Linked DNA regions of Macaca fascicularis. The protein of the gene in region 3 binds, or shares a complex with, the protein of the main gene of each other region. Links are inferred from orthologs where the notes say so. Each region holds a gene or a part of one and is shown on either strand. Other genes may lie near its edges. The genes, in order: MAD1L1, MAD2L1BP and MAD2L1.

The links.
Region 1: the proteins of MAD2L1 (region 3) and MAD1L1 are in contact, whole or in part, in a crystal structure (PDB 1GO4), measured with the Homo sapiens proteins. The link is inferred for Macaca fascicularis from reciprocal best matches to the Homo sapiens genes MAD2L1 and MAD1L1. Residues at the interface, in NP_002349.1 of Homo sapiens: Tyr38, Leu61, Tyr64, Asn67, Val68, Trp75, Gln82, Lys83, Ser89, Ile91, Glu92, Ser93, Gly94, Arg99, Gln101, Ser150, Phe151, Asp152, Leu153, Leu154, Ile155, Tyr156, Thr157, Asp158, Lys159, Asp160, Leu161, Val163, Lys166, Trp167; in NP_001013858.1 of Homo sapiens: Glu527, Arg528, Ala530, Leu531, Gln532, Gly533, Asp534, Tyr535, Gln537, Ser538, Arg539, Thr540, Lys541, Val542, Leu543, His544, Met545, Ser546, Leu547, Asn548, Pro549, Thr550, Ala553, Arg554, Leu557.
Region 2: the proteins of MAD2L1 (region 3) and MAD2L1BP are in contact, whole or in part, in a crystal structure (PDB 2QYF), measured with the Homo sapiens proteins. The link is inferred for Macaca fascicularis from reciprocal best matches to the Homo sapiens genes MAD2L1 and MAD2L1BP. Residues at the interface, in NP_002349.1 of Homo sapiens: Tyr33, Arg45, Thr52, Leu54, Lys122, Asp126, Glu127, Arg129, Ser130, Arg133, Gln134, Thr136, Ala137, Thr138, Thr140, Phe141, Leu142, Leu144, Glu179, Val181, Arg182, Leu183, Arg184, Tyr199, Asp205; in NP_055443.1 of Homo sapiens: Pro61, His79, Tyr82, Gln83, Gln85, Pro88, Leu89, Pro90, Gln93, His96, Ala185, Leu187, Arg188, Phe191, Arg192, Phe195, Asp198, Ala199, Phe200, Ser201, Glu202, Leu203, Gln204, Ala205.

Annotation. Positions count from the first base shown.
Region 1 is NC_088377.1:35,703,625-35,714,161, reverse strand, and holds the start of MAD1L1 (mitotic spindle assembly checkpoint protein MAD1), read left to right. Parts: upstream 1-5,122; 5' UTR 5,123-5,196; intron 5,197-7,387; exon of another isoform or gene 7,388-7,390; 5' UTR 7,391-7,567; intron 7,568-7,959; exon of another isoform or gene 7,960-7,962; 5' UTR 7,963-7,972; coding exon 7,973-8,122; intron 8,123-10,537. Other genes in the region: MRM2 (rRNA methyltransferase 2, mitochondrial), read left to right, coding at 1,914-2,356. UniProt on the Homo sapiens protein: Component of the spindle-assembly checkpoint that prevents the onset of anaphase until all chromosomes are properly aligned at the metaphase plate.
Region 2 is NC_088378.1:127,880,791-127,890,329, forward strand, and holds MAD2L1BP (MAD2L1-binding protein), read right to left. Parts: upstream 8,328-9,539; 5' UTR 8,293-8,327; coding exon 8,247-8,292; intron 7,779-8,246; coding exon 7,513-7,778; intron 4,310-7,512; exon of another isoform or gene 4,235-4,309; coding exon of another isoform or gene 4,148-4,234; coding exon 3,635-4,147; 3' UTR 3,226-3,634; downstream 1-3,225. UniProt on the Homo sapiens protein: May function to silence the spindle checkpoint and allow mitosis to proceed through anaphase by binding MAD2L1 after it has become dissociated from the MAD2L1-CDC20 complex.
Region 3 is NC_088379.1:125,162,608-125,172,186, forward strand, and holds the end of MAD2L1 (mitotic spindle assembly checkpoint protein MAD2A), read right to left. Parts: 5' UTR 9,517-9,579; coding exon 9,444-9,516; intron 8,605-9,443; coding exon 8,458-8,604; intron 4,861-8,457; coding exon 4,740-4,860; intron 3,715-4,739; coding exon 3,611-3,714; intron 2,718-3,610; coding exon 2,545-2,717; 3' UTR 1,861-2,544; downstream 1-1,860. UniProt on the Homo sapiens protein: Component of the spindle-assembly checkpoint that prevents the onset of anaphase until all chromosomes are properly aligned at the metaphase plate.

The DNA.
Region 1 (10,537 bases), on a different chromosome or scaffold from region 3:
GCCTGGGGAAGTCGAGGCTGCAGTGAGCTGAGGCCATGCAGTGGAGTGAGACCCTGTCTCTCTCTGTCTCACACGCACACACACAAAAGGATAACTTGCTGATATTTGAGTAACACCAGTTGTAAAACTAAAAAGGTGCCATTGTGTCACCTTAACCTAAAACAAGACTTGTTTCCTATAACTGATGTCAGCGTCTGCCTCCCCCTCTTCTCACTCTGTACCTACATTCAAAGCCCCTCTCACAAGCCCAACACCCCCATCTCCCCAGCAGTCCCCTCCACTGAGGAGAGCCGTAGTTCTGTTGAGAAGTGTCAGAGTTGATAAGCTAAGGGTAGAGTCACAGATGTTCTTGTTCAGTCTGCTTAACAGAAAGGCTGTTCCAACGGTAGGGGGCGAGGAAGAGACCATGTTTCATTCCTAGTTTAAACATTGGAAGTCCAGGTATTTTGAAGATTACCTCATTTTTCAAAGGTAAAACCCCTCAATCTTCAGCCCAGGAAAATGGGACGCCTCACGCCTCATTTTTTTTTTTTTTTTTTTTTGAGACGGAGTCTCGCTCTGTCGCCCAGGCTGGAGTGCAGTGGCTAGATCTCAGCTCACTGCAAGCTCCGCCTCCCGGGTTCACGCCATTCTCCTGCCTCAGCCTCTTCTGAGCTGGGACTACAGGCGCCCGCCACCTCGCCCGGCTAGTTTTTTGTATTTTTTAGTAGAGATGGGGTTTCACCGTGTTAGCCAGGATGGTCTTGATCTCCTGACCTCGTGATCCGCCCGCCTCGGCCTCCCAAAGTGCTGGGATTACAGGCTTGAGCCACCGCGCCCAGCCTCATGCCTCATTTTAGCTGGGTGTCCTGAGTAGCTGAGACTACAGCTAATTTTTATATTTTTTTGTAGAGACAGGATCTTGCTATGTTGCCCAGGCTGGACTAGAACTCCTGGGCTCTAGCAGTTCTTCTCAGCCTCCCAAAGTGCTGAGATTTTAGGTGTGAGCCACCGCACCTAGCTGGTATCAGTTTTTGTACATTATTTTGTATGTGTTCATTTTCCTCATCTCTTGACTTATTTCCAGTAGTTTTTACATTGGAAGCAATTGGATTAAGGTGGAGAAGGAGAATGGATTTATTGATTTAATCCAGAGGCACTTTATGCACTAGTATATTATTTTCTTTTTCTTTTTCTTTTTTTTTTTGAGATGGAGTCTCGCTCTGTCGCTGAGGCTGGAGTGTAGTGCTCTTGAGATGAAGCAAGAGCATGCCTTGTAGGAGAAGGTGACAGAAGGAGAGAGCGTGAACGTGATCTTGGCTCACTGCAACCTCCGCTTCCTGGGTTCAAGAGATTCTCCTGTCTCAGCCTCCCGACTAGCTGGGATTACAGGCATGTGCCACCACACCTGCCTGAGTTTTGTAGTTTTAGTGGAGACAGCATTTCCCCATGTTGGCCAGGCTGGTCTCGAACTCCTGACCTCAGGTGATCCATCTGTGTCAGCCTCCCAGAGTGCTGGGATTATAGTTGTGAGCCACTGCGACCGGCCTATTTTCTATTTTAGTTTATCAAAAGAGCACTCAGAGATAAGAACCCTTTCACAGAGAGTGAGCCTTGGGTAGTGAAATGATACCAGATTTGGAATCAGAAGTCCTGGCGCTTGGCACAGGTCTGCCCATGGCTGAGGATGACTCTAGGACAGTTACTTCCTGTATGGGCCTCAGCTTCTCAGATGTTAAGGCCCACGACTTCCCCCACCACGTGTCTTTATAGGATGTATAGATAGAAAAGGCCTGTGTTTACCTATTTGCACATTAGCTCTTTGCATTGGTCTTGACATTTTACTTTTATTTCATCATTTTGTTGCATGTACTATATTTTTGTGAAAACATTCAGGGTGTAAATAAATAACACATTCACCATTTCTTCCATAGATCCCAGCTCTCCTGTTGGCTTCGTGCTTGGGGTAGATCTTCTTCACATATTCCCCCTGGAAGGAGCAACTTTTCTGTGCCCTGCTGATGTGACTGACCCGAGAACCTCACAGAGAATCCTCGAGGTGCTTCCTGGTGGGAGAGCAGATGTGATTCTGAGCGACATGGCGCCCAATGCCACAGGGTTCCGGGACCTCGATCATGACAGGCTCATCAGCCTGTGCCTGACCCTTCTCAGCATGACCCCAGACATCCTGCAACCTCGGGGAACATTCCTTTGTAAAACCTGGGCTGGAAGTCAAAGCCATCGGTTACAGAGGAGACTGACAGAGGAATTCCAGAATGTAAGGATCATCAAACCTGAAGCCAGCAGAAAAGAGTCATCAGAAGTGTACTTCTTGGCCACACAGTACCAGGGAAGGAAGGGCGCTGTGAAGCAGTGAGGATTTCTTGTGCCATTTTCATAATGGTCATTAGCTTCTTTTAAGCTCGAAACGTAGCCTGAGCTCCTTCCGGAAGAGTTCCTGGGAGATCTGAGCTGATTTTGGAGATGGAACAGGACAAGTGGGGAGTCTCTTTCTTTTTTTTTTTTTTGAAACGGAGTCTCGCTCTGTCTCCCAGGCTGGAGTGCAGTGGCGCGATCTCCACTCACTGCAAGCTCCGCCTCCCAGGTTCACGCCATTCTCCTGCCTCAGCCTCCCGTGTGGCTGGGACTACAGGCGCCTGCCACCGCGCCCGGCTAATTTTTGTATTTTTAGTATTTGGGGTTTCACCGTGTTAGTCAGGATGGTCTCGATCTCCTGACCTCGTGATCCGCCCATCTCGGCCTCCCAAAGTGCTGGGATTACAGGCGTGAGCCAGCGCGCCCGGCTGGGAGTCTCTTTCTTTCTCTCTCTCTTTTTAACCAAAAAGAGATGACAAAACTAAGTTCAGGGGCCATGGAAAATGAAAAAGTCCTCTATATTGATTTGTGAGGAGAAAGTTATCAAGAGAAAGAGGTGAGGATGGAAGGATGAAGAGAGACAGACTGTGGGAAGAATCAGAAGGAATCCGCTGAGGCAGGGATGGGTGTGCCCATGTGTGCCTTGACGGGACTTCATCTTACAGACTGTTAAACTGTCACACAGAAACAGGCTTTCCACTGCTCCTCCCAGAGCACCATGCACAGGTTTCCAGTTCTTAGTGTGGCTATTTAAAGTAGAAAATCTGGGGGCTGGGTGAGGCCACTCACACCTATAATCCCAGAAGGCTGAGGCTGGGGGATTCTTGAAGTCAGAAGTTCAAGACCAACCTGGGCAACATAGCAACACCCACTGTCTCTACAAAAATGAAAAAACAAAAAACCAAACCAAAAGAAAAATCTGAAATTTCCATCTGGGGATTAAATTCTTTCTTTCTGGTGAGTAATCTAGAGATTCATGCATTCTTCAAGCAGCAGAAGTTCCCAGAGCGATTAGGGAAGACGTATGGTCTGAATTTACTCATGCACTGGGTGTGCTTTGGTTTTCGCTGGAAATTTGTATCTGTGTCTGGACTCCCAAGAACATAAAGGTAATTGCCAAAGCAAGCAGTGATGTGGTGTGTTTATTTTCTTTTACTCTTCTAGGAACTCGATGCAGCTTTATATTTATTTATTTATTTATTTATTTATTTATTTATTTATTTAGAGACGGAGTCTCGCTCTGCCACCCAGGCTGGAGTGCAGTGGCCGGATCTCAGCTCACTGCAAGCTCCGCCTCCCGGGTTCACGCCATTCTCCTGCCTCAGCCTCCCGAGTAGCTGGGACTACAGGCGCCTGCCACCTCGCCCGGCTAGTTTTTTGTAGTTTTTAGTAGAGACGGGGTTTCACAGTGTCAGCCAGGATGGTCTCGATCTCCTGACCTCGTGATCCGCCCGTCTCGGCCTCCCAAAGTGCTGGGATTACAGGCGTGAGCCACCGCGCCCGGCCGCAGCTTTGTATTTAATAAAATAGAAGTTGCATTATTGTAAGGGACTTTCATGCTTTTAAGTTTTGTTTTTTTAAAACTGGCTTCCTCAAAGCCATTTCCTGGAGGTGTACTCATCCCTCAAGAAGTGTGTTGACTGTAACTATGATTCAATTCCAAGCACCAGTGCGGTAAGTCTGGAAACCCAGGAATCGCCATCAGGGATCTGGGGCTTGGTCCAGCTCCCCAAAGGAAACTGCAGGTCAGATGTTTTGACTTGTTTTTTTTTTGAAACGGAGTCTCGCTCTGTCGCCCAGGCTGGAGTGCCTTGAAACGGCTCACTGTAAGCTCCACCTCCCGGGGTTCACGCCATTCTGCCTCAGTCTCCTGAGTACATGGGACTACAGGCACCCACCACCAAGCCCGGCTAATTTTTTTTTTTTTGTATTTTTAGTAGAGACGGGGTTTCACCGTGTTAGTCAAGGTCTTGATCTCCTGACCTCGTGATCCACCCGCCTCGGCCTGCCAAAGTGCTGGGATTACAGGCGTGAGGCACGGCGCCCGGCCGCCAGATGTTTTGGCCTTTCATTTTATTTCTGGTTGCAGTCAGGTAGTTAAGTCCAGGGACTCTCTTGCCCTACTCCACCTCGTTCTCATTCCCTTTCATTTCCGGGGCACACAACTTGGAAGTCTTTTTCTCTGGAAGAAGAAAAATTCAATGTAGACCCTTAGGAACAGCATCTTCTTAGAGGGAAGCCAGGGACTGGGCAGAGGTGGGAAGAAGAGAGGAGGCACACTCTTCTCAGGAAGGCTCCAAATTGAAGGATAGACGAAGGTTACCGTAATAATAGTGGGGCCTGACCTCACCCCGTTGGATTTTGTGCCTTGGCTTGCAGAGCATTAGGAGGTAGCCTAGTAGCATAAATTGCATTTCTAGTGGGCCCAGATAAAAGCAAAATAACGGATTGATTCAAGCTGATACTGAGTAGCAAAATTTTGGGAAGAGTCAACAATGCAAGTTTGTTGCAGGAGGCTGCTATGGGCGCGGCTATTCCACACATTACGGCGCGAGGCGAAAGCCTTAGTGGAAGCGCGTCCTGCGCGGGGTCGGGGACCCCGACTGCGCCTTGGCCCGGCCTTCGGTTCCGAGTCCTTTCCGTGTGTAGTCTCCCGGGGGTGGCGGCTCTGGGTGCGGGCACGGAGGCCCCAGGACCAGCTGGTGCGAAGACTCGGTTCTTTACGGCCCGGTTCCCACCCAGGTCTCGCGAGAGCGCAGGCGCAAGTGTCGCGATAAGTGGGCGCGGGCGGAGCGGAGGGAGATCCGAGCGGCGGCGGCAAGTGGGCTGCGGGAGACTGAGGTGAGCGGCCCGGCCTTCGCGGGCGGCGGGGTTCTGGGGTCCTGGGGCCCCGGGGGTGGCAAGGGCGGGGCCGAGGGCCCGGACCGGGTGTGCCCGCCAGGGTGGGGCACAAGGACCCTGGACCCCGTGCCTCAGGACCGCGCGCCCGCCCCGCCTCCCATGGGCGCGCTCCCCTCTCTGTGCTCTCCCCTCCTCTCTCCTCCTCTTCCCACTCCCCTGTCCCCACTCCGCTGTCCCCACGCCCCACTTCGGGCTGTGCTGGGTACAGCGGGCCCCTCGCCTGGGTTTCCGCAGCCGTCCCTTGTGCCAGGGCGGGCGGCCGAGGGGCGCGTGCTCGTGGCCCCAGCCCCGGGGTCCGGGTGCCCCCCGTGGGGGTCCCCGTGCCCGCCGTGGGGGTCTCCGGGCTAGGGTGCCGGCGCGCCGAGGAAGGGGCCTGAGCTGGCGCCTGGTGGAGAAGTCGGGGCTGCAGGGGCTCTTGGCATCCTCGTGGCTCGCGCGGGCCCGCTCTCAGGAAGGGGGCGTGTGGGCCCGGTTTCCCCTCGGGGATGGCAGGGGTCGCCCTGGTCTCTTCTGGGCAATGGAGGAATTGGGCTGTGGAGCCTCCCTGCAGGCGGGCCTGCCTCTGCGGGGCTCGCAGCCTGGGGAGCTCAGGGCTCTGCTTGCAGCAGGCCGAGGTTCTTGTTCAATGGAAACTCAGAAACTGTGCAGCTGCAGGAGTTCTACCTTTGGTTGTTAAACGCGCTTGGCTGTTCCCCTTGTTAGGGCTGGTGGGCCGGCCTGCCGTGAGACCATCGTCAGCGCAGGTGTTAGGGGTGCAAAGTTCTTTGCTGCTGCTTGTCTTCAGCCTTCCAACGCCAGACAGACCCAAGTTCCCAATCTCCGTTCTGTAACTTTTTGAAGCTTCAGTTTCATCATCTCTAGAATCTGTGTAAAAAGACCTGATTCACCACCCTGTTAAGATTGAGCTTACAAATGTAGTGCTGGTCAACCTGCGGCTGCATTCCCATTATCTAGCAGTGGAAGACTTGAGGGATATTGACCCCATTCCCCACAACTTTGCAAGTAGATTTCACTGTCATGAGTTGACAGATGAGGAAGCTGAAGTTCAAGAAGTCTCCGTGCTCGGAAATGTCAGATACCTTTCTTTCCAGTACCTAGTTGAAAATAGTAGTAGTACTTATTAATGTCACTAGAAATAAACAATGAAAATTAGCACAGCTGTGATGATCATCTTTACTGTCACTGTTGCATGCCTCATTTCTGATTCCCAGAGGCCAGACTTTTTAAAAAATTAATTATTATTATTTTTTGAAACGGTGTCTTGCTCTGTTGTCCAGGCTGGAGTGCAGTGGTGCGATCTCAGCTCACTGCATGCAACCTCTGCCTCCTAGGTTCAAGCAATTCTCCTGTCCCAGCCTCCGGAGTAGCTGGGATTACAGGTGCATACCATATCCGGCTTTAATAGAGACAGGGTTTCACCATGTTGGCCAGGCTGGTCTCGAACTCCTGACCTCAGGTCATCTGCCCGTCTTGGCCTTGCAAAGTGCTGGGATTACAGGCATGAGCCACAGTGCCTGGCCTTAATTAATTAATTAATATTTATTTATTTTGAGGCACAGTCTTACTCTGTTACCCAATCTGGAGTGCAGTAGTGCGGTCTCAGCTCACTGCAACTTCCACCTCCCAGGTTCAAGCGTTTCTTGTGCCACAGCCTCCTGAATAGCTGGGATTACAGGCGCGCACCACCACACCCGGCTAGTGTTTGTATTTTATTAGAGATGGGATTTTGCCATGTTGGCCAATCTGGTCTTGAACTCCTGACCTCAAGTGATCTGCCTGCCTCCACCTCCCAAAGTGCTGGGATTACAGGCGTGAGCCATCCCACCTGGGCAGGAGGCCAGACTTTTTTGTGAGTGCTCCTGGTAGTTAGTTTCAGGCATCAGCTGACTGGATTCAGGAATTTCTAGAAACCTGGGAAAGCATCATTTTTGTTTCTGGGTGTGCCTGTGAGGGTGTTTCCAGAGGTGATGAGCTTGGGAGTCTGAGTGGACCAGGTGCTGAAGATCCACCCCCCAGTGTTGGGGGCACCATCCAAGAGCCTGGGGCCTGGAGAGGACAAAAACAGAAAAGACGAATGTGTCCATCTGCCTGCGGGAGCTGGGATACACCCTTCTTCTCCTCTCCTCAACAGCAGCACTCCAAGCTCACCGGCCTTTGGTCTCCAGGACTCGTTCCAGCAGTTCCTCGAACTGAGAATTACACCATCGGCCCCCCTGGCTCTGAGGCCTTCAGACTTGGACTGTGTCACACTGCCAGGCTTCTAGGGCTCCAGCTTACAGACGGCCTGTTGTGGGACAGTCTCCCTAATCGTGTGAGTCCGTTTCCCTAATAATGCCCCTCTCGTGTGTCTGTCTCTGTCCTGTTGGCTCTGTCTCTCTGGAGAACCCTCTTACAGTGCTGTGGGAGGACGTGCCACCTGAGTGCTGAGCTCCGCCTCTTGGGCGCCAGCTGTCTGTGTGCAGCTGAGACTCAGTCGGTGGCTCAGTGGCGGGGATTTGGTGGCATGCTTTCTTGCTTCCATTTTTTGTCTGGTAAATTGGCAGCATGGCTCCCAGTTGCCTTTGAAGAATGTGGTTACAGACACTGGTGTATTATGGGCTCCAATGAGCGTTAGGGGAGTGGGGATGTCCAGAGGCCCCGCTGACTGCACAGCTGATGGCACGTAGAAAGGCTGGCCCTGACCAGTCCTTTGTCTGTTCCCAGAAGGAAAGCAACCATGGAAGACCTGGGGGAAAACACCACGGTTTTATCCACCCTGAGATCTTTGAACAACTTCATCTCTCAGCGGGTGGAGGGAGGATCTGGACTGGATATTTCCACCTCGGCCCCAGGTTCTCTGCAGATGCAGTACCAGCAGAGCATGCAGGTGAGTGGCATGTGCCTGGGTGGGAGTCTTCTCTGGGGAGACCCCTGGGCCCAGGCAGGGCCTGTTCAAGTGTTCTGTAGTTGAGGTGGGTCAGTATTAGCTCAGCCTAGAGACCAGCTGCTCATCTTCCAGGCCTCACTGTGGCCACTTCTCGTTTTGGGGCAGTAGCTGGAGGCTAGTTGGGGCCCTGAGCCATCCTGGCTCGAAGGCCTGCCTTGTTAGCACCCTGAGTGGGCCTGGCGCTCAGCATTGCATTCACACAAGTGCACCCACAGACCCTGGTGACAGGATCGGAAAGCCAGTTCGTTCATCTAATTGAGGACAGAACCCAAACTGCCTGGGAGTGTGAGCAGCAGGACCGTCGGGCAGGCTGTGTCGGAAACACAGTGCGGGAGTGCCCGGCAGCCCAGAGACAAAGCCACAGCCGTGAGCAGAAGGACGGGATGTTTTGTGGTCTCAGGCTGTAGAGGGCCATTTTCAGATTTTGGGGTGATTTTTACGGATTTCTTCTATAAAATAGTTGTATTTGGTTTCGTTACTAGTTCTTGGGGGATTGCTCACTGTAGACACAACTGCAGAGGACTCAGGTCTCCTGAAGGACTTCAGGATCCAAAGAGTGATGGGCCCAGCCCCACGTGGGGCTGGGATAACGGGGCCCCCGAGTGGTGGGGAGTGGAGTGCTGGGGAGTGCTGGCAAGTAGTGTCTCCAGCCTTGCCTGGGCCCTGTGGCTGCACAGGCTCCTCTAGACCCCTCTGCCTGGACCCTCTTTCCCAGTCCCTGCTGCAGGCCCCAGAGCCATTCTGTAGTCCTGTGCCCATTAGAGGAGGCTCTGGCTTCCTGTGCTCTCAGAGCCCAGATGAGGCCCTGCTGCATTTGGTAAAGCTGTGTGTGTGTGCATTTGTTTTGTTGCATAATTGAATTAATATGTGTTTATTAGAATGCTAGCTTGTGGCTGGATGTGGTGGCTCACGCCTGTAATCCCAGCAGTTTGGGAGGCCGAGATGGGCGGATCACGAGGTCAGGAGATCGAGACCATCCTGGCTAACATGGTGAAACCCTGTCTCTACTAAAAATACAAAAAATTAACTGGGCGTGGCACCTGTAGTCCCAGCTGCTCGGGAGGCTGAGGCAGGAGAATGGTGTGAACCCGGGAGGCGGAGCTTACAGTGAGCCGAGATCGCGCCACTGCACTCCAGCCTGGGCGACAGAGCGAGACCCCGTCTCAAAAAAGAAAAAAAAAAAAGAATGCTGGCTGCTAGCTTGCTTACTGCCGTTTCTTCATGAGGACAGTTTTGTATTCTGAGATTAGGTCACGTGTATATGTGTGTGTATGTATATATGTGATATGTATATGTAAATGCTCTTTTATGAAATTATGAAGGTAATAGATGGTTGTTGTTTTTATCACTGGCAAAATTAGAAGTTGCCAACTCTGAACTGGTTGCGGCGGCTCACGCCTAGAATCCCAGCACTTTGGGAGCCTGAGGTGGGTGGTTCACTTGAGGTCAGGAATTTGAGACCAGCCTGACCAACTTGGTGAAACCCCATCTCTACTAAAAATACAAAAATTAGGCGGGTGCGTACACCTGTCATCTCACCTACTCGGGAGGCTGAGGCAGGAGAATCGCTTGAACCCAGGAGGCAGAGGTTGCAGTGAGCTGAGATCACGCCACTGCCCTCCAGCCTGGATGACAGAGTTGGCAACTCTGGTCTGAAATGCTGTAATTTCCTTGATGCAAATGTCTGGGACCTCTTGGCCTATCTGTCAAAGCTTTGGGATTCTAGTCTGTCTTGGACCTGAGAGGCCCCCAGTGCTCACTGTTAAGGGCCTTTCGGTGAGGGGATCAGTGATGGGGTGCGGTAGTCAGAGCGAGGTGGCGAGCAGAGTGATGTCGGTGAGCCCAGCCTTGGTCCCTGGCCCCTGTCACATCCCGTTTCTGGACTTTGTTGTGGTTCTTTCTCTCCTGCTGAGCCCCCAGCATGGCAGAGAGGGCCTGGAGTCCATGGCAGGCCGGGGAATGTGTGCTGTCTGGTTTATCACACATCTGTGTTGATTTAATGTAAGGGCAAGCTTTCAGTTGCTGTCTTTCAGTTGTAGTTAGCTCCAGGCAGAGGTGGCACACGGATCAGGTGTGTCTGGGACTCCTGGTCCCTGCCGGTCATGCCCCCTGCAGGTGGGGTGCCCACCCTTCTCGAGAGGCTCAGGTTTGACTGCAGACACAGAAGTGAGACCAGGAAGGCTGCTGAGTTTGAAGGGCAGTCTTAGGAATGCCCAAACAGCGGCAGCTGGGAATCGAGACACGGTAACATAGTAAGAAAGGAAGCGTGGGCTTGGGCCACCAGAGAACACAGGTGGGAGGACAGAGAAACTTCCCTCCCCCGTCCCGGGCTTTCCTAGCCTTGGCATGCTTGGC
Region 2 (9,539 bases), on a different chromosome or scaffold from region 3:
TGATTGTCTGGGCATTGTTGGTTTTTGGGGATTGAGACAGGGTCTCACTTTGTCACCCAGGTGGGAGTGTAGTGATGTGTGATGTCAGCTCACTGTAGCCTCAACCTCCTGGGTTCAAGTGATCTTCCTACCTCAGCCCCCCAGGTAGCCGGGACTACAGGTGCGTGCCACCACACCCAATATTTTTTGTATCTTTAGTAGAGATGGCGTTTTGCCATGTTGGCCAGGCTGGTGTTGAACTCCTGAGCTCAAGTGATCCGCCCACCTCAGCCTCCCAAAGTACTGGGATTACAGGCATAAACCACCACACCCAGCCTTAGGCATTGCTTATGAAGGAAGGCATTGTTATGAGATCAGCCTGACCAACATGGTGAAACCCCGTCTCTACTGAAAATACAAAACTACCATCCTGGTTAACACGGTGAAACCCCATCTCTACTAAAAAAAAAAAAAAAACAAAAAAACTAGCCGGGCGAGGTGGCGGGCGCCTGTAGTCCCAGCTACTCGGGAGGCTGAGGCAGGAGAATGGCGTAAACCCGGGAGGCGGAGCTTGCAGTGAGCTGAGATCCGGCCACTGCACTCCAGCCTGGGTGACAGAGCGAGACTCCGTCTCAAAAAAAAAAAAAAAAAAGAAAAGAAAATACAAAACTTAGCCAGGCATGGTGGCGCACAGCTGTAATCCCAGTTACTCGGGAAGCTGGGGCAGGAGAATCGCTTGAACCGGGGAGGCAAAGATTGCAGTGAGCCAAGATCATGCTACTGCACTGCAGCCTGGGCAACGGAGCGAGCCTGTCTCAAAAAATACAACTAACTAAATAAATAAAATTAGTATTTGAGGGAGTTGATTTGGCTTAATGTGTTATCTCAAAACGATTTATGGCTCCCTGGTTTACAACGACCCCCACTCCCTTTAGGCAGACCCCTCAGCCTTTCCTTTCCCTGAGCAGGAGATATGGCTCAATCTCTCTTCTATAATAGCAGTAGACAGAAAAAGTCAAAATTCTGGCTGGTAGAATATGCTTCAAGTGGTCATAGCACAGAAAAGAGCCCAGGCGGCCGGGCGCGGTGGCTCAAGCCTGTAATCCCAGCACTTTGGGAGGCCGAAGCGGGCGGATCATGAGGTCAGGAGATCGAGACCATCCTGGCTAACCCGGTGAAACCCCGTCTCTACTAAAAAATACAAAAAACTAGCTGGGCGAGGTGGCGGGCGCCTGTAGTCCCGGCTACTAGGGAGGCTGAGGCAGGAGAATGGCGTAAAAACCCGGGAGGCAGAGCTTGCAGTGAGCTGAGATCCGGCCACTGCACTCCAGCCTGGGCGACACAGCGAGACTCCGTCTCAAAAAAAAAAAAAGAAAAAAAAAAAAGAAAAGAGCCCAGGCGTTTTGCTTTCATTGATTCCATATTTACTCAGCACCTATTGCAGGTTCCATGGCAGACACCAGAATCTGAAGCCAGAGAGGAAAATCTTACAGCTTCCTGATGCTAATACCTTTGGCAAGGCAAATCTTGGCTAAATATTTCAGAGTAAAACCACATAGGATGTGCAGTACTGTAGGGGAATCCAAGTTTCACCACTTAGGCAAACTGCTCAATCTCCCCTGGCCCTATCTATAAAATGGGGACAATAATTCATGCACTGCAGAGTTGTTAGGGTTAGATAATGTAAGTGCTTAAAATAGTACATATACTTTTTAAAAAATAGTGTATTTTAGGAGTACATATATGTATCTTATACTATGTACATACGTGTGAGTATATATATACCTTTTTTTGTGTGTGTGAGACGGTGTTTCACTCTGTAACCCAGGCTGGAGTGCAGTGGCATGATCTCAGCTCACTGTAACCTCCACCTCCTGGGTTCAAGCGATTCTCCTGCCTCAGCCTCCCAAGTAGTTGGGATTACAAGTGCCCACGACCACGCCTGGCTAATTTTTTTTCTTTTTTTGAGACAGGGTCTCACTCTGTTACCCAGGCTGGAGTGCAGTGGCGTGATCTCGGCTCGCTGCAACCTCTGCCTCCTGGGTTCAAGCAATTATTCTGCCTCAGCCTTCCTAAGTAGCTGGGATTACAGGCACTCGCCACCAAGCCCGGGTAATTTTTGTATATTTAGTAGAGACAGGGTTTCACCATATTGGTCAGGCTGGTCTTGAACTCCTGAACTTGTGATCCACCCACCTCAGCCTCCCAAAGTGCTGGGATTACAGGGATGAGCTACCGTGCCTGGCCTTTTTGTGTGTGTGTATTTTTAGTAGAGACAGGGTTTCACCATGTTGGCCAGGCTGGTCTCCAACTCATGACTTTAGGCGATCTGCCCACCTCAGCCTCCCAAAGTGCCGGGATTACAGGCATGAGTTACTCACCTAGCCTATATATACCATTTATATATTATACATACACATGCATATACCTATCCCCAACACCAGCAAAGTGTGGATTCTGTCTTCAACTTGCTTCCAAAAATTGAGGTGTTTGGCCGGGCACAGTGGCTCCTCCCCTCTCGCTACTCAGCATACCTGCTCAGTTTACTACAAACCAAGCACCAGGCCAGACTATTTCCCAAAATCACTGCTTTTATTCAGTGGCCTGGTAAGCTAAGTTCTTTACCACAATCTTCCCACATAAAGATGACCTCTGCTTTGGGGGATACAGAATTTAAGCATCACAAAAATCTGTATGTGATAAGAAAAGCACATTGGCTAAAAGATAGCTAATGAGGACTCTAGTCCTAACTGTGTTATCAAAGTACATATGCACTTGGCCAAGTCACTTAACTTCCTAGATTAGCCTGGGGCTGAAGAAGAGAAAAAATCATTATTAAAAAATCCTAAGGCTGGGCACAGTGGCCCACACCTGTAATCCCAGCACTTTGGGAGGCCAAGGCAGGTGGATCACTTGAGGTCAGGAGTTTGAGACCAGCCTGGCCAATATGGTGAAACCCCATCTCTGCTAAAAATACAAAAATTATCTGGGTGTGGTGGTGGGCACCTGCAATCTCAGCTACTCGAAGGCTAAGGCAGGAGAATTCCTTGAACCTGGGAGGCGGAAGTTGCAGTGAGCCAAGATTATGCCACTGCACTCCAGCCTGGGCGATAGAGCAAGACTCCATCTCAAAAAAGAAAAATATAATAAATTTTTGAGACGCCCTGAAGCAGAAGAGGCCAAGGAGAAAGACAAAATAGCCTAAAACCTGACAAGTTATTTTAAGTCAAAAGAATTTCAGGAAAATATAATAAGAATCTATTTATTTTATATTTAAATTCATAAGTCACATCCACATTATGTTCCTGGGAAAAATTCTGAAAGGACACAGCAAGGAGCAGAAAGGGCCACCTTCATGGAGTTTCTGTCTATGGACCCATCTTTGCTTTACAACCCCTAACAGAAATACCTGACCCAGCACCCTCTGGGAAAATCAACCTTTGATTCAAAGAGATGTTGTTCAGCAATGATTACAGTCACCGCCACATGCCATCAGCCCATCAGGAAACCTGAGGAGGGGAGGCAGACAACCAGAAGGAGAGTTGCTTCGTCTCTCACCAGGAAGAAACTCTAGCTCCAAACTAGATGGGTAATTCAGTGCCACATGAAGAAAGATAATTCAGCCATTGTGTTTTTATAATTAAGAAGCACTCATTCACTCGCGGAAGCCTTTAAGTGTCACTGGTGCCTGGAACCAAATGTAGTCTTCCCAAGCCGTGGTTCGGATGGAAGGTCTGCCACATGACAGGGTCACAGTCAGTTTATGGCCCCGGCTGGGCACTCGATAGTTGAGCTTGGGTTGAAACCAATCTTCTCCACAGTCGCGGTGTCCCTGTGCCATGATGATGGTGCCCATGAGAGGAGGAGCCTGAAGCTCACTAAAGGCATCAGCCATGAATATGGCTCGGAAGAGACGGCGCAAACAAGCTGCTGTGCTCAGGCTCTGGTCCACGCTGTAGGGGGCCAGCAGAGACAAATCGAGTTCATAGAACTCCTTGGGGCTTAGGGAATTGCCCCCAAGGAGAATCAGCACTCGTGGTACTAGTGTCCGTGCAAAGAAGTCCTCCAGGTGGCTGAGGACACTCTCCAGTTCTGCCACAGCTTGTTGGCATTTCCTGCTGCTCACCTCAGTGGTGGCCCGAGGTTTCTTCTTCAGCATCTCCTCTGCCTGTGAGGACAAAGAATGGCGGGAGAGAAGAACAAGGCAGGGGGAAGCTAATGCCCTTTGAAAAGAACCCTGCTGGGATGTGTACATAGACTTACAGGACTGAATTTCTAGCTCAATGAACCGCCACAGCCACAACACTGTGTTTTATCAGAGGGCATTATACTGAAAAGGAAAATATATTATTTGTACAAAACCATAATTCTCCCACATATAGAACAGCAAACACAGTGTTCTGAAGGTGGAGAATATCCAGATATAAACAACTAAAATAGAGATTTGGTAGTATGACAAAGTGACAACAAATTTTTGCTATACAGGGAGTGATAACAGGAATAAGGATTATTTGGTCTAATAAACATGACTCTGAACTTGTTCTTCCACTTAAACATAGTAAACTGAACAATGCTTATTTGCGCTTCCACCTGAAATACTACAAAATGAGAGAAAAGAAATTAAGAAACAAATGAACGAAAGAAGAGGAAAGACCGAGAAAGAAAACTCCCAAGGGCAAAGAACTGGAGACTACACAACACTAGTCAAATGCAAACACAAAGTTTTGGAAGACAGAAAGAGGATGAAGAGTTGGCCGAGCGCAGTGGCTCATGCCTACAATCCCAGCACTGAGAGGCCGAGGCAGGTGGATCATGAGGTCAGGAGATCAAGACCATCCTGGCTAACACAGTGAAACCCTGTCTCTACTAAAAACACACAAAATTAGCCTTGCCGGGCACGGTGGCTCATGCCTGTAATCCCAGCACTTTGGGAGGCCGAGACAGGCAGATCACAAAGTCAGGAGATCGAGACCATCCTGGCTAACACGGTGAAACCCCGTCTCTACTGAAAATACAAAAAATTAGCCGGGCGTGGTGGCGGGCGCCTCTAGTCCCAGCTACTCGGGAGGCTGAGGCAGGAGAATGGCGTGAACCCAGGAGGTGGAGCTTACAGTGAGCCGAGATGGCGCCACTGCACTCCAGCCTGGGCGACAGTGCGAGACTCCGTCTCAAAAAAAAAAAAAAAATTAGCTGAGCGTGGTGGCGGGTGCCTGTAGTCCCACCTACTTGGGAGGCTGAGGCAGGAGAATAGCATGAACCCGGGAGTCGGAGCTTGCAGTAAGCCGAGATTACGCCACTGTACTCCAGCCTGGGCGACAGAGCAAGACTCTGTCTCAAAAAAAAAGAAAAAAAAGAAAAGAAAGAAGGTGAAGAATTAAGAGTTCAAGAGAGCTGAATACCAAGTGCTGACAGAAGGGACTCCCAAGGGATGCAAACTGATACACACAGCAGAACCCCAGAAAGGTTTAGGAAGTGGTGATACAGGCACCACAGAGGCAAGAATGAATATAGGGGAAATGAATGAAAATCTGTGTCAAGATGCTTAGATCATCTGCCAAATTTCTCCCCCATCCAGAGGGAAGACTTTCCAATACTATGTTTAAGGAATCCCCCCAAAGAGATCACCAGGTTGCCACCTAATCTCCTTATAGTGAAGTCTATAAGCTCATAAGGCCCAGGCATGCACACAGAGCTTGCAGTGATTTGTTCTTAAATATTCACCAGACACAATAAAATTCTCCAACATGAAAGTCAAAGACCAGAACAAAACAAATGGAGAATGGATTCTAGAAGAAACTGAGATGCCGCAAAGAACAAAGAAAAACTTCAAAAATTAAATAATATCCTCAGGCAAAAGAAGTTCATGGCCTGGTGCGGTGGCTCACACCTGTAATCCCAACACCACTTCGGGAGACTGAGGCAGGTGGATCACCTGAGGTCAAGAGTTTGGGACCAGCCTGGCCAACATGGTGAAACTCCGTTTCTACTAAAAAAACAAAAATTAGCTGGGTAAGCCAGGCGTGGTGGCTCACACCTGTAATCCCAGCACTTTGGGAGGCCAAGATGGGCAGATCACTTGAGGTCAGGAGTTTGAGAGCAGCTTAGCCAAAATGGCGATACCCCGTCTCCACTAAAAATACAAAATTTAACTGGGTGTGGTGGTACACACCTGTAATCCCAGCTACTTGGGAGGCTGAGGCAGGAGAATCGCTTGGAACCCAGAAGGTGGAGGTTGCAGTGAGCCAAAATCGCTCCACTGCACTCCAGCCTGGGCAACAGAGCGAGACTCTGTCTCAGAAAACAAACAGGCTGGGCATGGTGGCTCATGCCTGTAATCCCAGCACTTTGGGAGGCTGAGGCAGGCAGATCACCTGAGGTCAGGAGTTCGAGACCAGCCTGGCCAACATGGTGAAACCCTGTCTATACTAAAAATACAAAAATTATTTGGACATGGCGGCGCATGCCTATAATCCCAGCTACTTAGGAGGCTGAGACAGGAGAAGCGCCTGAACCTGGGAGACAGAGGTTGCAGTGAGCCGAGATGGCGCCACTGCACTCCAGCCTGGGTGACAAGAATGAAACTCCCTATCAAAAACAAACAAACAAACAAAATTAGCCAGGTGTGGTGGTGCATGCCTGTAATCCCAGCTACTTGGGAGGCTGAGGCAGGAGAATCACTTGAACCTGGGAGACTGAGGTTGCAGTGATCTGCGATAGTGCCACTCTCCTCCAGCCTGGGTGACAAAGTGAGACTCCATCTCAAAAAAAAAAAAAAAAACAAAGCAAAAAAAAGTTCATACAGAAATTCAACAACAGGATGCTATTAAAAAGAAACATGCAGGCCGGGCGCAGTATTTCACGCCTGTAATCCCAGCATTTTGGGAGAGGCCAAGGCGGGCAGATCACTTGAGGTCAGGAGTTCGAGACTAGCCTGGCCAACATGGTGAAACTCCATCTGTACCAAAAATACAAAAATAAACCGGGCATGGTGGCACGTGCTCTTAGCTACTGGGGAGGCTGAGGCACAAGAATCGCTTGAACCTGGGAGGCAGAGGTTGCAGTGAGCAGAGATCACGCCATTGCATTCCAGCCTGGGCAACAGAGCAAGACTCTGTCTCAAAACATAAAATACAAAAATTAGCTGGGTGTGGTGGCGGGAGCCTGTAATCCTAGCAACTCAGGAGGCTGAGGCAGGAGAATCCCTTGAACCCAGGAGGGGGAGATTGCAGTGAGCCAAGATCTCACCACTGCACTCCAGCCTGGGCAACAGAGCGAGACTCTGTCTCAAAAGAAAAAAATGCGAAGAGCCAGTTCATTAAGACCAAATGCAACACGAGTTTCAGAAAGAAAGAACAGGAGAAAAAGCCAGAAGGGTTAGGCTACCAAAGACTAGAATGGGGAGAAAGTGACTGAAGCCCTGGAAGCTGCTTAGTCTCTCAGGCTCTGAAGATTTCTTAGACCCCCTTTCTACCTGCCTCCCATCTAAGAGCCACAAAGTCTTCCCACCAACTTGCTCCCAAAGCCTGTGCCTACCTGGGGAGAAGGTTTTCGGTAAAAGTTCTTAAGCTGTTCATAGGGCAGAGGGAGTTGCTGGCGTTGGTACATGATATGCTTTAGAAGTTCACAAGTAAACTGACAGCAGCCTTCCTGGCTTACAGGCCCAGGAAACACCACTGGTACTATGCAGTCTCTTGGGCAAAAGGGCTCCGAAGGGTTGAGAGGTTCCTGGGTAGAGCTTGTCTCAAGCAGTTCTATCTGGGAGGCGTGAGTTTCTTCTGACTTCTCATACCACTCCAAATCTGGTAGATGAAAAGAGGGACAAGAGAGAAAAATTTAAAACCTAAAAGCCAAAGTCAGTCTTCTCATTCCCTGTGGCCACCAAACCAGCCACCCTGAGAAAGCAGGCACTCCGACATACGCCCATACCCTCCGCAGCCTACAGTGTGGGCCGTGGCAGGGAGAGATTCCTGATCCCTGTTGCCTGAGGAGATTTAATTGACTGAAAGATAGTGGGGGTATTTCGGAGGTAGTAACTAGGGCTCCCCGCTCAGAAAGCAGCGGGACTTGATCTGGGGAAATGAGTCAAAAGTGTAGTCAAGCAGGGTCCAGTGCGACCCACGGCGATGGAGTCACAGCTAGAGCCTTGTAGGACACCCGGAAGACAGGGAAGATGGGCTAGGGAGAGGACCAAGGGATAAATGGAGGGCGCGGAGGTAGGGAAGAAACGGGTCCCTAAGGCTTCCCAAACTCTGGGCCCCACGCCTTACCAGGGACTGAGGCTGGGGACAGAACCTCCGCCTCCGGCGCCGCCATCACGACCTCCTCCCCTTACTCCTTGCGGTTAGAATAAAGGTCCCGCGGGGCATCATGGGAAGCCCGCGCCTCCACTTCCGGTTCAGTTGGGCCGGAAAAAAGGCGCGGCGCCACGGCAGTGTTGGGGAGGCTAAGTGGAGTTGGGATTTGATCCCTCCGTTCCTTCCTTAACACCCTGGCAAATATACGCCTAACCCTTGCCCAGCAAGAACCCAGGCGTTCTCAGCCAATGAGCGCTGCTTTCCAAAAGACACCAACCCTCACGCATCCATTCACTCCAGCATTCACTACTCACTGTGCACCTACTTCGTGCCAGGCCCTGTCCTAGGTGCTGGAGACTCAGCGGAGAACAAGCCAGGCGCGGACCCTGTACTCAAGGGGTTCACTGCCTGTAGATACGATACAATGTGATGAATTATACAGAAGGGTTTACACGGGGTGTGGAAGTGAAAAACAAGGGTGCCTGACCCAGAGAGGGTAGGGGCTGGGAAGGAGTGGTCCCAGAAGAAATGTGTGAAGCTGTGACCTGTAGGATAAGTCAGCAAGGTAAAGAGGAGGGCCCAGTGCTCCAGGAGACCTTGAGACAAGAGCATACTCTGTTCAAGGAATGAAAAGAGTTCATATTATAAAGAGTTAAGGCTGTAGTGAACAACAGGAGCCAGATCATGGCAGGACTGTGTAAGCCATGTGAGAGTTTGGACTTGATCCTGTAGTCAGATGGGGAAGCTTTGAAAGGTTTAAGTAGGAGAGTGGCATGATTAAATTTACATCTTATAATCTCTACCCTGGCTGCAGGGTAGAGATTGGATTACAGAGAGGATAAGAGAGGAGGCAGGGATACCAGTTAGAGGTAGTGCAATTACCTGAGTACTTGATGAAAGCAGCCTAAACTGCTAGGGTAGTCACAGTGGGGTGGAGATAATTGGGTAACTCGATATATTTAGGAGGTCCAGTGAACATAACTTGGTGATTGATTTACAAGGAGGAGGAGGAATAGAAATAGACTGACAAGAGGCCGGGCGTGGCTGCTCACACCTGTAATACCAGCACTTTGGGAGGCCAAGGCAGGTGGATCACAAGGTCAGGAGTTTGAGACCAGCCTGGCCAACATGGTGAAATCCTGTCTCTACTAAAAATACAAAAATTAGCTGGGCATGGTGGCATGCACCTGTAATCCCAGCTACTCAGGAGGCTGAAGCAGGAGAATCGCTTGAACCGGGAGGCAGAGGTTGCAGTGAGCTGAGATC
Region 3 (9,579 bases):
TACTTCAGACCATGATGGGCTTAACCTCTGTTCATCCCTCTACATATGGTAAGCAACACTGAGCCAGAGTCCAGGCCAGGCCTAGAGACCCATCATGCTGTCTTAAGAAGAACCTTCTCTTTAACATGGTGTAGAAACCACTCACAAGTCTTTCAGCTGTTGGTTTAAATGTCTTCCTCCTGAGGTAAGCCTCAAGGTCTAAAAAGAGGATGGGACAGTCCACTTGGAGCTACAGGGCAAAGCTTTTCCAGTCTAGCTTCACCTCAATAAAGTTCATAGTTTGGCTCCCGCTCAGCTCCAAAATGTGTATTTTATACATTATTAATTATTATTTTTTGAAATAGTCTTGCTCTGTTGCCCAGGCTAGAGTACAGTGGCACGATCTTGGCTCACTGCAACCTCCGCCTCACGGGTTCAAGCGATTCTCCTGCCTCAGCCTCCCAAGTAGCTGGGATTACAGGTGCCCGCCACCATGCTCAGCTAATTTTTGTATGTTTTGTAGAGACGGGGTTTCACAATCTTGGCCAGGCTGGTCTCAAACTCCTGACCTAGTGATCCACCTGCCTCGGCCTCCCAGTGCTGGGATTACAGGCGTGAACCACAGCACCCAGCCCAAAATGCGTATTTCTTAATTGATTATATAATCTGTAAGGGTTAAAATGACTCGTCATGACTAGCTCCCCAGAAACCTCAGAGTAAACAGTAACATGCAAATGATACAAAAATCTAAGAATTGAATCCTGTTAATAACGGTAGCTGAGTTGAAATGACCAGAATATACACACAACCTTTAAAAATGTGATTTCAGCAGGGCGTGGTGGCTCACGCCTATAATCCCAGTAGTTTGTGACATTAAGGCAGGTGGATCATGAGGTCAGGAGTTCAAGACTAGCCTGGCAACATGGTGAAACCTCCTCTCTACTAAAAATACAAAAATTAGCCACGCGTGGTGGTACATGCCTGTAATCCCAGCTACTCGGGAGGCTGAGACAGAATTGCTGGAATCCGGGATGCGGAGGTTGTAGTGAGCTGAGCTGCGTCACTGCACTCCAGCCTGGGCGACAGAGTAAGATTCCATCTTGGGGCAAAAAAAAGTGATTTCACAGAATTTAGTCTGACATCTCAAATAGTTAAAATACAAATGAAGCATTTATTGGCCATTTTCTTGATATCATCTAGCTGGGTAACACCAGTGCTCCATTTATTCCATAAAGATATGAAGAGTCTACAAATTTGTCACTGAGAACCCAGAAACTGCCACTGATCCACAGTATTTGCTCAATATGTAATTTCTGAATGAACACATTCAGACTATCTGCAATTACTTCATACACATAAAGAACTTAAGTGTCTAATAATAAGCATTAATAAACTGAATTTTTACAAAATGAGGTCAGATTTAGATTAGAGATGAGAGAAGACTTTACAAATCTGCCTTAAATTGACTTTGGAAAAACAGGTGAGAACTGGATAGAAAGCATGTACCAGATGAAGGTATTAATGAAAGCACAGGAATAAGCATAGTATTTAAATACCTAAAGAAAAGTAGGCTGATAATAAGGCTAAGAGTATAGTAAAGTACTAAAATCAACATTTGTTCAACTGGAATTGTTGGACTAATTCCAAAGGACATTTATCCTTTCACAATGATGAAGTAATAGCTTTGTCTATTGCTATGAGATCAACAGGATGTGATCAAAGTTTATCCATTAGATTGAAGACACCTCAAGACTCACTCAACTTTGTATCTTTAAGTTCTATAACTTCATAGGAACAAGAATTCAATAGTTATGCTGAATCAATTCTAATTACCATTTAACTATATCAACACCAAACCAGTATCAAAATTTTTAAGACAAATTTAAAACAAACTTAACTTTATTTCCTCACTTTCACTTAAAACTTGATTTTATAAAACACACACACACAAAAACATTTTTAAGAGTTCTGTATCACAGAACATTAAAGAGTACAAATATCCATTGTTTCATAAGTTCAAGTTACATAAATTAAAGTCAAATTTGGAAACTGATTCATTAGGGAAAACTATACATGAAATGAAGGTCAAAAGGAGCTAATACAGCAATATTTCATGTTTATAGATTATTAGTTACTTTCAGGACCTTAGCAAAGATTCTGAATATTTAGACTTCCTTTGCTGTATTTTATACTTAAATATCTCCCTACCTATACTGAGTCAAGCTACTTGACCAAAACATCTGATTTAGGAAAGCATTTAGCTTTATAGCACAAGTTTTTCCATCTACAGTTACTATCTTCAAAGAATATACATCACAACGTTGACAAAAAAAATTCCTGGTTCCTTTTGAACAGTGTGCAATAAATTCATGATGTTAACTCCATGGTAAGTCAAATAGGCACCAAAAAATAAAAGGAACAATTACACACAGTTCAGTAAGTATCATTTTGGTTTTCTCCATGTAAAAATTAACCAATGAAATAAAACATATTAACTGTAGATGATTTGATTTCAGGAAAACCAAATTTCAAAATTACAATTACATTATTTTCCTCACGTCATCCTCAGTCATTGACAGGAATTTTGTAGGCCACCATGCTATTTACTTTGTGGATTGTAGTAGTAAATGAACGAAGGCGGACTTCCTCAGAATTGGTAATAAACTGTGGTCCCGACTCTTCCCATTTTTCAGGTACAACCAAATCTTTGTCTGTATAAATCAGCAGATCAAATGAACCTAAATTGGGGATAAGATCATTAAAGTACATTACTTTCTAAAAGTAAAACTAATCTTGTTGCCTCTCTTCTATTTTGAACAACTCACTGCTGGAAAAGGTCATTTGGCTTGGCCTCTAATCACTAATTTATTTTGCTCAATGAACATTTATCTTAATAAAGAAAATATTGTATCTAATTTCTGTGCAATTTAGTGATTGTGTTCAAGTAACCCTTATCTTATTTAATAATGGTCCCAAGGGTGGGTGCGGTGGCTCACGCCTGTAATCCCAGCACTTTGGGAGCCCAAGGTGGGCGAATCACTAGGTCAGGAGGAGATCGAGACCATCCTGGTTATCATGGTGAAACCCCGTCTCTACTAAAAATACAAAAAATTAGCTGGGCATGGTGGCGGGTGCCTGTAGTCCCAGCTACTGGGGATGCTGAGGCGGGAGAATAGTGTGAACCTGGGAGGCAGAGCTTGCAGTGAGCCGAGATCGCGCTACTGCACTCCAGCCTGGGCGACAGAGTGAGACTCCGTCTCAAAATAAATAAATAAATAAATAAATAAAAATAATGGTCCCAAAGCACAAGAATAGTGATGCCAGCATATTGTTATAATTGTTCCAGTTTATTAACTCTTACGATGCTTAATTTACATATTAAATTGTATCACAGGTATGTATGCATAAGAAAAACATCATACAGGGTTCATACTATCCATGGTTTCAGGTAGTCACTGTGGGTCTCCTTGTGGAAAGGGAGACTATGATACATTAATTTTCCTTTATAATGTTTTTTCTTCAATTTATATTACATAAATCTGACAAGACAAAATTGAATAAAGGGGTGATTAAGGCAGTAGCTTAGTCTTTTTGCCAATCAATTTAATCCAACAAGAAGTTGTATACTTACAGGAAACTTCCAACAGTGGCAGAAATGTCACCGTAGCTGTTATCTGTCTGATCACTGAACGGATTTCATCCTGGATAGCTTTCTGAGACTTTTCTCTGGGTGCACTGTCAAAAAAAAAAAAAAAAAAAAAAATCAACAGTGCACCCAATCAATTAATTCATTTTAGGTTTTAAGTTATTTCAAACATAGTGGTAAGATTATTTATTTGATTAAATGCTCTCAACATCAAATAAGCAGTGCTTTAAAAAGGAGGTTTGTAAAAACTGTGAATGAAAGTATCCTTTGGACCTATAACCTAGTAGGCACAACATACATCCTCATTACTTCATTTATCCTGCCAGGCATCTTTTAGAGCTGGTCTTAGTGTCAGGTCATTTAGTATCAGATGACTAGAAAATCTGCCAATCATTTCAAGTTCAGGAAACTTCAGCATCTCTTGAAATAAAATAACAAATGCTATCTAAAATATTTAATTGGTATAATCATTTTGGCACTTTTAGTAATGCCTAAATGTCTAAATTCCTATTTTCTCAAATAAAACATTAAATTGTGTATCAAATTATTTTATAAGCTAAAAATTTCCTAAAATAAACCAAAGCCTTCAGAAGCAAACTACATTTCACTGTAAGAAATGGTTCCCAGTTTATAGAAAAGCATGCCTAGGACAATGCTAAACATTAGAGTATAAAGACAGACACTTCTCTTCCAGGGAGTCTGGAACTTTCAGAAATTTATCAAGTGTCTTAGGAAGTAGATGGCATTAAAGGAAGTACAGCAGAGCTACATCATAAATTGTGTGAATCTAATATAATTCCTTATAGTTAAAAACATCTTAGAACAATTCATTAAATGGTTCATCTAGTATATCATGTGTAGTTTTGTATATACCACCATAAATACTGTTTGAAAATTGCTGATTTAGACTAAAGGCAATTATATATATACAAATCAATGATATGTTAAACCGACAATTCTTTTCCACAGGTGACTGAGGATATCTTAGAAAATATAAATTAGAAACAAACTATATTTTATATAAAACTAGTTCAATATAATTAGAACTCAATTGGTAATAAAAACAAGTTTTGAAAAAATATATCAAAGTAGAAATAATGTAATTCCTACTTACCTGTCATCTTTTGCAGTCTTGTCACACTCAATATCAAACTGCCATCTTTCCAGGACCTCACCACTTTCAATATTTGAGATAACTACAACCAGTTTCTGAACTGAACACTTGTATAACCAATCTGCAACACATAAAAATGAAGGCATCTTTCTTGGTCCACTGCATCATAAAGTAGCTCTCTTCTCAGGTCCTACTCCCTATCCTCAGCAAATTCCTACCACTGCTATCTTGGACTTCCTCCTACGTGCAAGAAAATTTGCACCATCAATACTCTAACTTCTGTTTTCAAATTCTCAGTATCTGTACCAGGTACAGTAATTGGTGCTGAGGACAGAATACTGAACATATGGTACTTTCATCCTAATCCAAGATAAAAGCATAGGAGATGGGCATTCATCTACTCATCACACCAATAAATGACAAATTATCATTGTAATGGCTGCTATGAAAGAGAGATGTAAGATGCAATGAGAGCATAAAAGAAGGAAAATTTGAGCCACTTACGGAGGTCAGAAAAGGTTTGAGTTTAGCTCTAGGGATAAACAGCATTAAATATGCAAAAGGATAGGAAAGAAGATACAGGCCTCAAATACTCACAAGGGAAGAGCATATAACTAGAAGACTGGAAGCAGCTCACTACAAGTGCAATCAAGAAACAAACAAACAAACAAAATAAAACAATACAATCCTTGCAAGATTAATAGAAGCCAGACCACGCAAAGCCTGGTGGATCAAATTTAAAAAATATGCACTTCAAGACCAGTGAAGTCATTACTGTGTGTGAAGCAGGATGTAAAGCAATTAGTCTTGTATTTCAAAACTATCATTCTAGCTGTGATATGGAAAGTAGACTGGAGATGTTAAAGAGGGGATCTAGAGACACTAGTTGGTCCATCAGTAATTCGAGCAAGAGTTAATGAAAGCTTGTAGGAGGATAAACTGGTAGAGACGAAGCAGTAGGTAAATGTAAGAGATTTCATGGTTAAAATTTATTGGGTTTAGTCATGGTAGTAAGGAAGAAGCATGATTCAGGGACAGCTTCCAAGTTTCTTTTATTTCTGTTTGGACGGTTTAGCCACTGACAGAGAGAAAATTAAAGAGTATCAGTTTTGGATATGATCCTAAATTTAATTTTTAGTATGCTTGAGTATATGTTATCTCTGGGATAGCTACATAAAGATATAGCTGCTGAATATATGAGTCTGGAGAAAGAGGCTTTGGGATAGATATATAAGTTTGTGAGTTGACTACACAGAGGTTGCTAGTGAAGCTATACACAGGTCAGAAATCACCTATAGAGAAATTATAAAGACAGAACGGGGGCTCAGATTGAGCCTTGAAGTAATCTTGGAAATTGAAACAGCATATTCAGGAGTCAGCGAAGTTTTTGTAAAGAAACTTTGTAAAGAAAAATTACAAAAAAGAGTAATTAGTAAATATTTTAAGCTTATAGGCCACCAAGGTCTCTGTTGCTTATTTTTAAACAAACCTGAAGTGTAAAAATATTCTTAGCTTGTGGGCAGTGCAAAAACAGGCCACCTGTTGGATGCGGCCTGTGGGCCTTGTGATCCCTGGCATTTATCAACAACTTTTTATGAGTTTCACTCTGAAAAGGAGGAGACTGGGTGGTAATTTGTTCTTCCTTTAAAACTGGAGAGATGAAAACAATGGGGATAATTAAAATCAAAACACAGAAGCAGAAAATATAACAGAGAACAGGATCAAGACCCTAAAAAAGGCTAGAGGAAATGACATTCAAAACAAAACAACTGGCTAGGTGTGGTGGCTCACGCCTGTAATCCCAGCACTTTGGGAGACAGAGGTGGGTGAATCACGAGGTCAGGAGTTCAAGACTAGCCTGGCCAAAATGGTGAAACCACGTCTCTGGTAAAAATACAAAAATTAGCCGGGCATAGTGGCAGGCGCCTATAATCTCAGCTACTCGGGAGGCAGAGGTTGCAGTGAGTGGAGATCACGCCACTGCACTCCAGTCTGGGTGACAGAGTGAGACTCCAAACAAAAAACAAACAGAACAACTTGCCTCTAGGGAAGAGCAATTTTTCCACTTTAACTAAAATAAAAGGGAGAAGTTAAATAGGAAGGTCTAGACACACATAACGTGAAGTGTCATCAATGCAGTCTCAAAGGAGACAACCTAAAAACCATTGGCTTCAATGCAGTCTCAAAGAAGACAACCTAAAAACCATTGGCTTAGGCAATGCTTGCTTCTCTAGCAAATTAAGATGGAAACACACATCCATAGTTGCCTAGAGGTTCCAGGCCAAATGATCTGAGTGCAGCCCTATGAATCACTACAGATGATTTATTCCTGACCCCCAATTTTGGATGCAACTCTGGGAGAGGTGGACACTCCTATCAATGTCTTTCCTGTGTACACTTGAGAACAGAGGTCTATTCCCACACCAAAAGAGGTCTCATCTTGCTATTTTGACAATACCAATCTACTACAGCAGCAGTTCTCAACTAAGGGCAATTTTGTCCCCTTGGGCACATCTGGCAATATAATTTATGGAGACACTTTTGGTTGTCAGAGCAAGGTGGTTTGTTACTGGCATTTGGTTAGTAAAGGCCATAGATGTTGGTAAACATTCTATAACACACAGAAAAGCACCCACACCAAAGAAATATCCAGGCCAAAATGTCAACAGGGCTATCTTCCCTTGCCTGTCAATTTAAGACGTAACATCCACAGGTTGTTGAGGCATTCCACTCCTGTACACATAAAAGGCAAGGCAATGTTAACAGTTTATCTAGAGGATAGTATAGGTTGAAAGAGAGTTATCAAGCTAAAAAAGTTCACATGGCCATTATCGGAAGGGCATATTAAAAATAGGTTAGTAAAAATGCAATAAAAATGGCAAAACAAAGACACATTTCTGGTCAACAACAAAAGAAATAATTTCTAAAAAAAAAAAAAAAAAAAAAAAGATGCCCACTGTAGTACTTTCAAAAATTTTAGAAGATCAAATGGGAGAAACATTTGAAAAATTAGAAATGAGAATCCTAAGTGGAGGGTAACATGAAAGAGAAACTAACAGGAATTCTAGAAAGGAAAAAGAAATAGATGAAGAACAAGTATTCACCCGACAGGTAATACAGCAATTTCTCGAACTAAAGAAAAACGAACGTTCAGACAGAAAAGGCTTACTGAATCACCGGCAGAATTTTTGAAAACGACAAACAGAAATATGTGAAAAACAAAACAAACAAACAAAAAAACTGTGAGTGTTCTGTCATTTAGCAGCTAATCTTTTTCTTTTTTTGAAGTTTATCTGGTTGAATCCAATTTCCTTGATATTAATCTAATGATAACATTAGACTACAGAAAACTAATTAGTTACAGAAAATACATTATATTGAGAATATGTAGTGTATATTTTCTCAGATAGTGAACACCGTTATAATTATGTAAAATTCCAACCTGTTCCATTTGGCCACATTAACTGCGAAAGCCACTTCTAAGGGAGTTGATGAAGACTATTTTTCAGCCATATCAGATTTCTTACATCAAAATATTCAGCCCACTCACAATGTAGTGGGGGAAGAGTGAATTTCTTCCATTTTATATATTATTTGCTTCCTCTCAACTTAAAATATATTTGAGATGTGAGTACACTTCTATTTGCAGAGCGGAAAAATGACCACTTGAGATGCTAAAAAATCTGCAAGACTCAAATTACTTCCAATGATTAAATACCTTTTAGTTGTTCCACCACATTATTTAGGTATTTTATGAGCTCAAGATCAGTAGTTACAAGCAAGGTGAGTCCGTATTTCTGCACTCGAGTAAAAGTTTCAGATGGATATATGCCACGCTGATATAAAATGCTGTTGATGCCGAATGCTGCAAGCAAAAGAAATGTTACAGAAAATTCATTATCACTGCATAACTCTGGAAAATAAAATATATTTGGATGTGGCTATATTTTCATTAGGCTATACAGCTATAAATGACTGAACACACGTGTATCTTGCTGAAAGCAGAGTAGGTACAAAGTGGCATTAAAAATCCTTAAAAGTCTTGTATCTAAGTAAAAAAAGATAATTGTTTTCACGTGCCAAGGAAAAAAAAAGCCAAAGTGTATCAACCTACTATTGCCAAATTTCACCTCATTGTAATCCAAGTCCAAATTCAGATTATGAGGCTAGAGGATGTCAAAATAGGCTGTTGCATTCGAGTCAGCAACTGACTGAATAGTCACTTTGCTCCAGACAAGCCTGTATCTTCCCCTTTCCCTCCCAAATCCTGCCAGGTTCCTTTACAACGTGCAGCTGGCCTGTTCGAGAACAAGGGTTCCCAAAATCTTGTTTACCGCCAGCCTCATGCCTAATAATCACTTAGAGTGGGAGGGTGAGGGTGCTCTCGCAGTTAAAAAAAACACACACATACACACCCACACTGGGACCCACCCCAGTCACGCTGTGTCCTGTATCGGAAAGTAAGGGGTGGGAGGTGGGACGGATCTGCACTTAAAGGAAGAAACGCTCCGGAAGAGGCTACGCCGCGAGGTAGGCCCCAGCAGCACGCAGGCTTGCAGCTCCACGTTATAGCAACGCGTCAGGAGGAACAGCCTGCAGCCGCCGCTCCCAGATTACTTCTCCGGTCTCAGAGGCCGAGCTGTGGGCCTACTGAGCCGCCACGACTCAGTTCCCCCCAATATAATGGCCGGCGCGAGGACTTACAGAAGAACTCGGCCACGATTTCAGCGCTCCCGCGCAGGGTGATTCCCTGCTCCCGGGAGAGCTGCAGCGCCATGGCCAGGGACACAAACAAAGGCACGCACTTGCACTCGGCGGACAGCAACCACAGCGGCTCCCA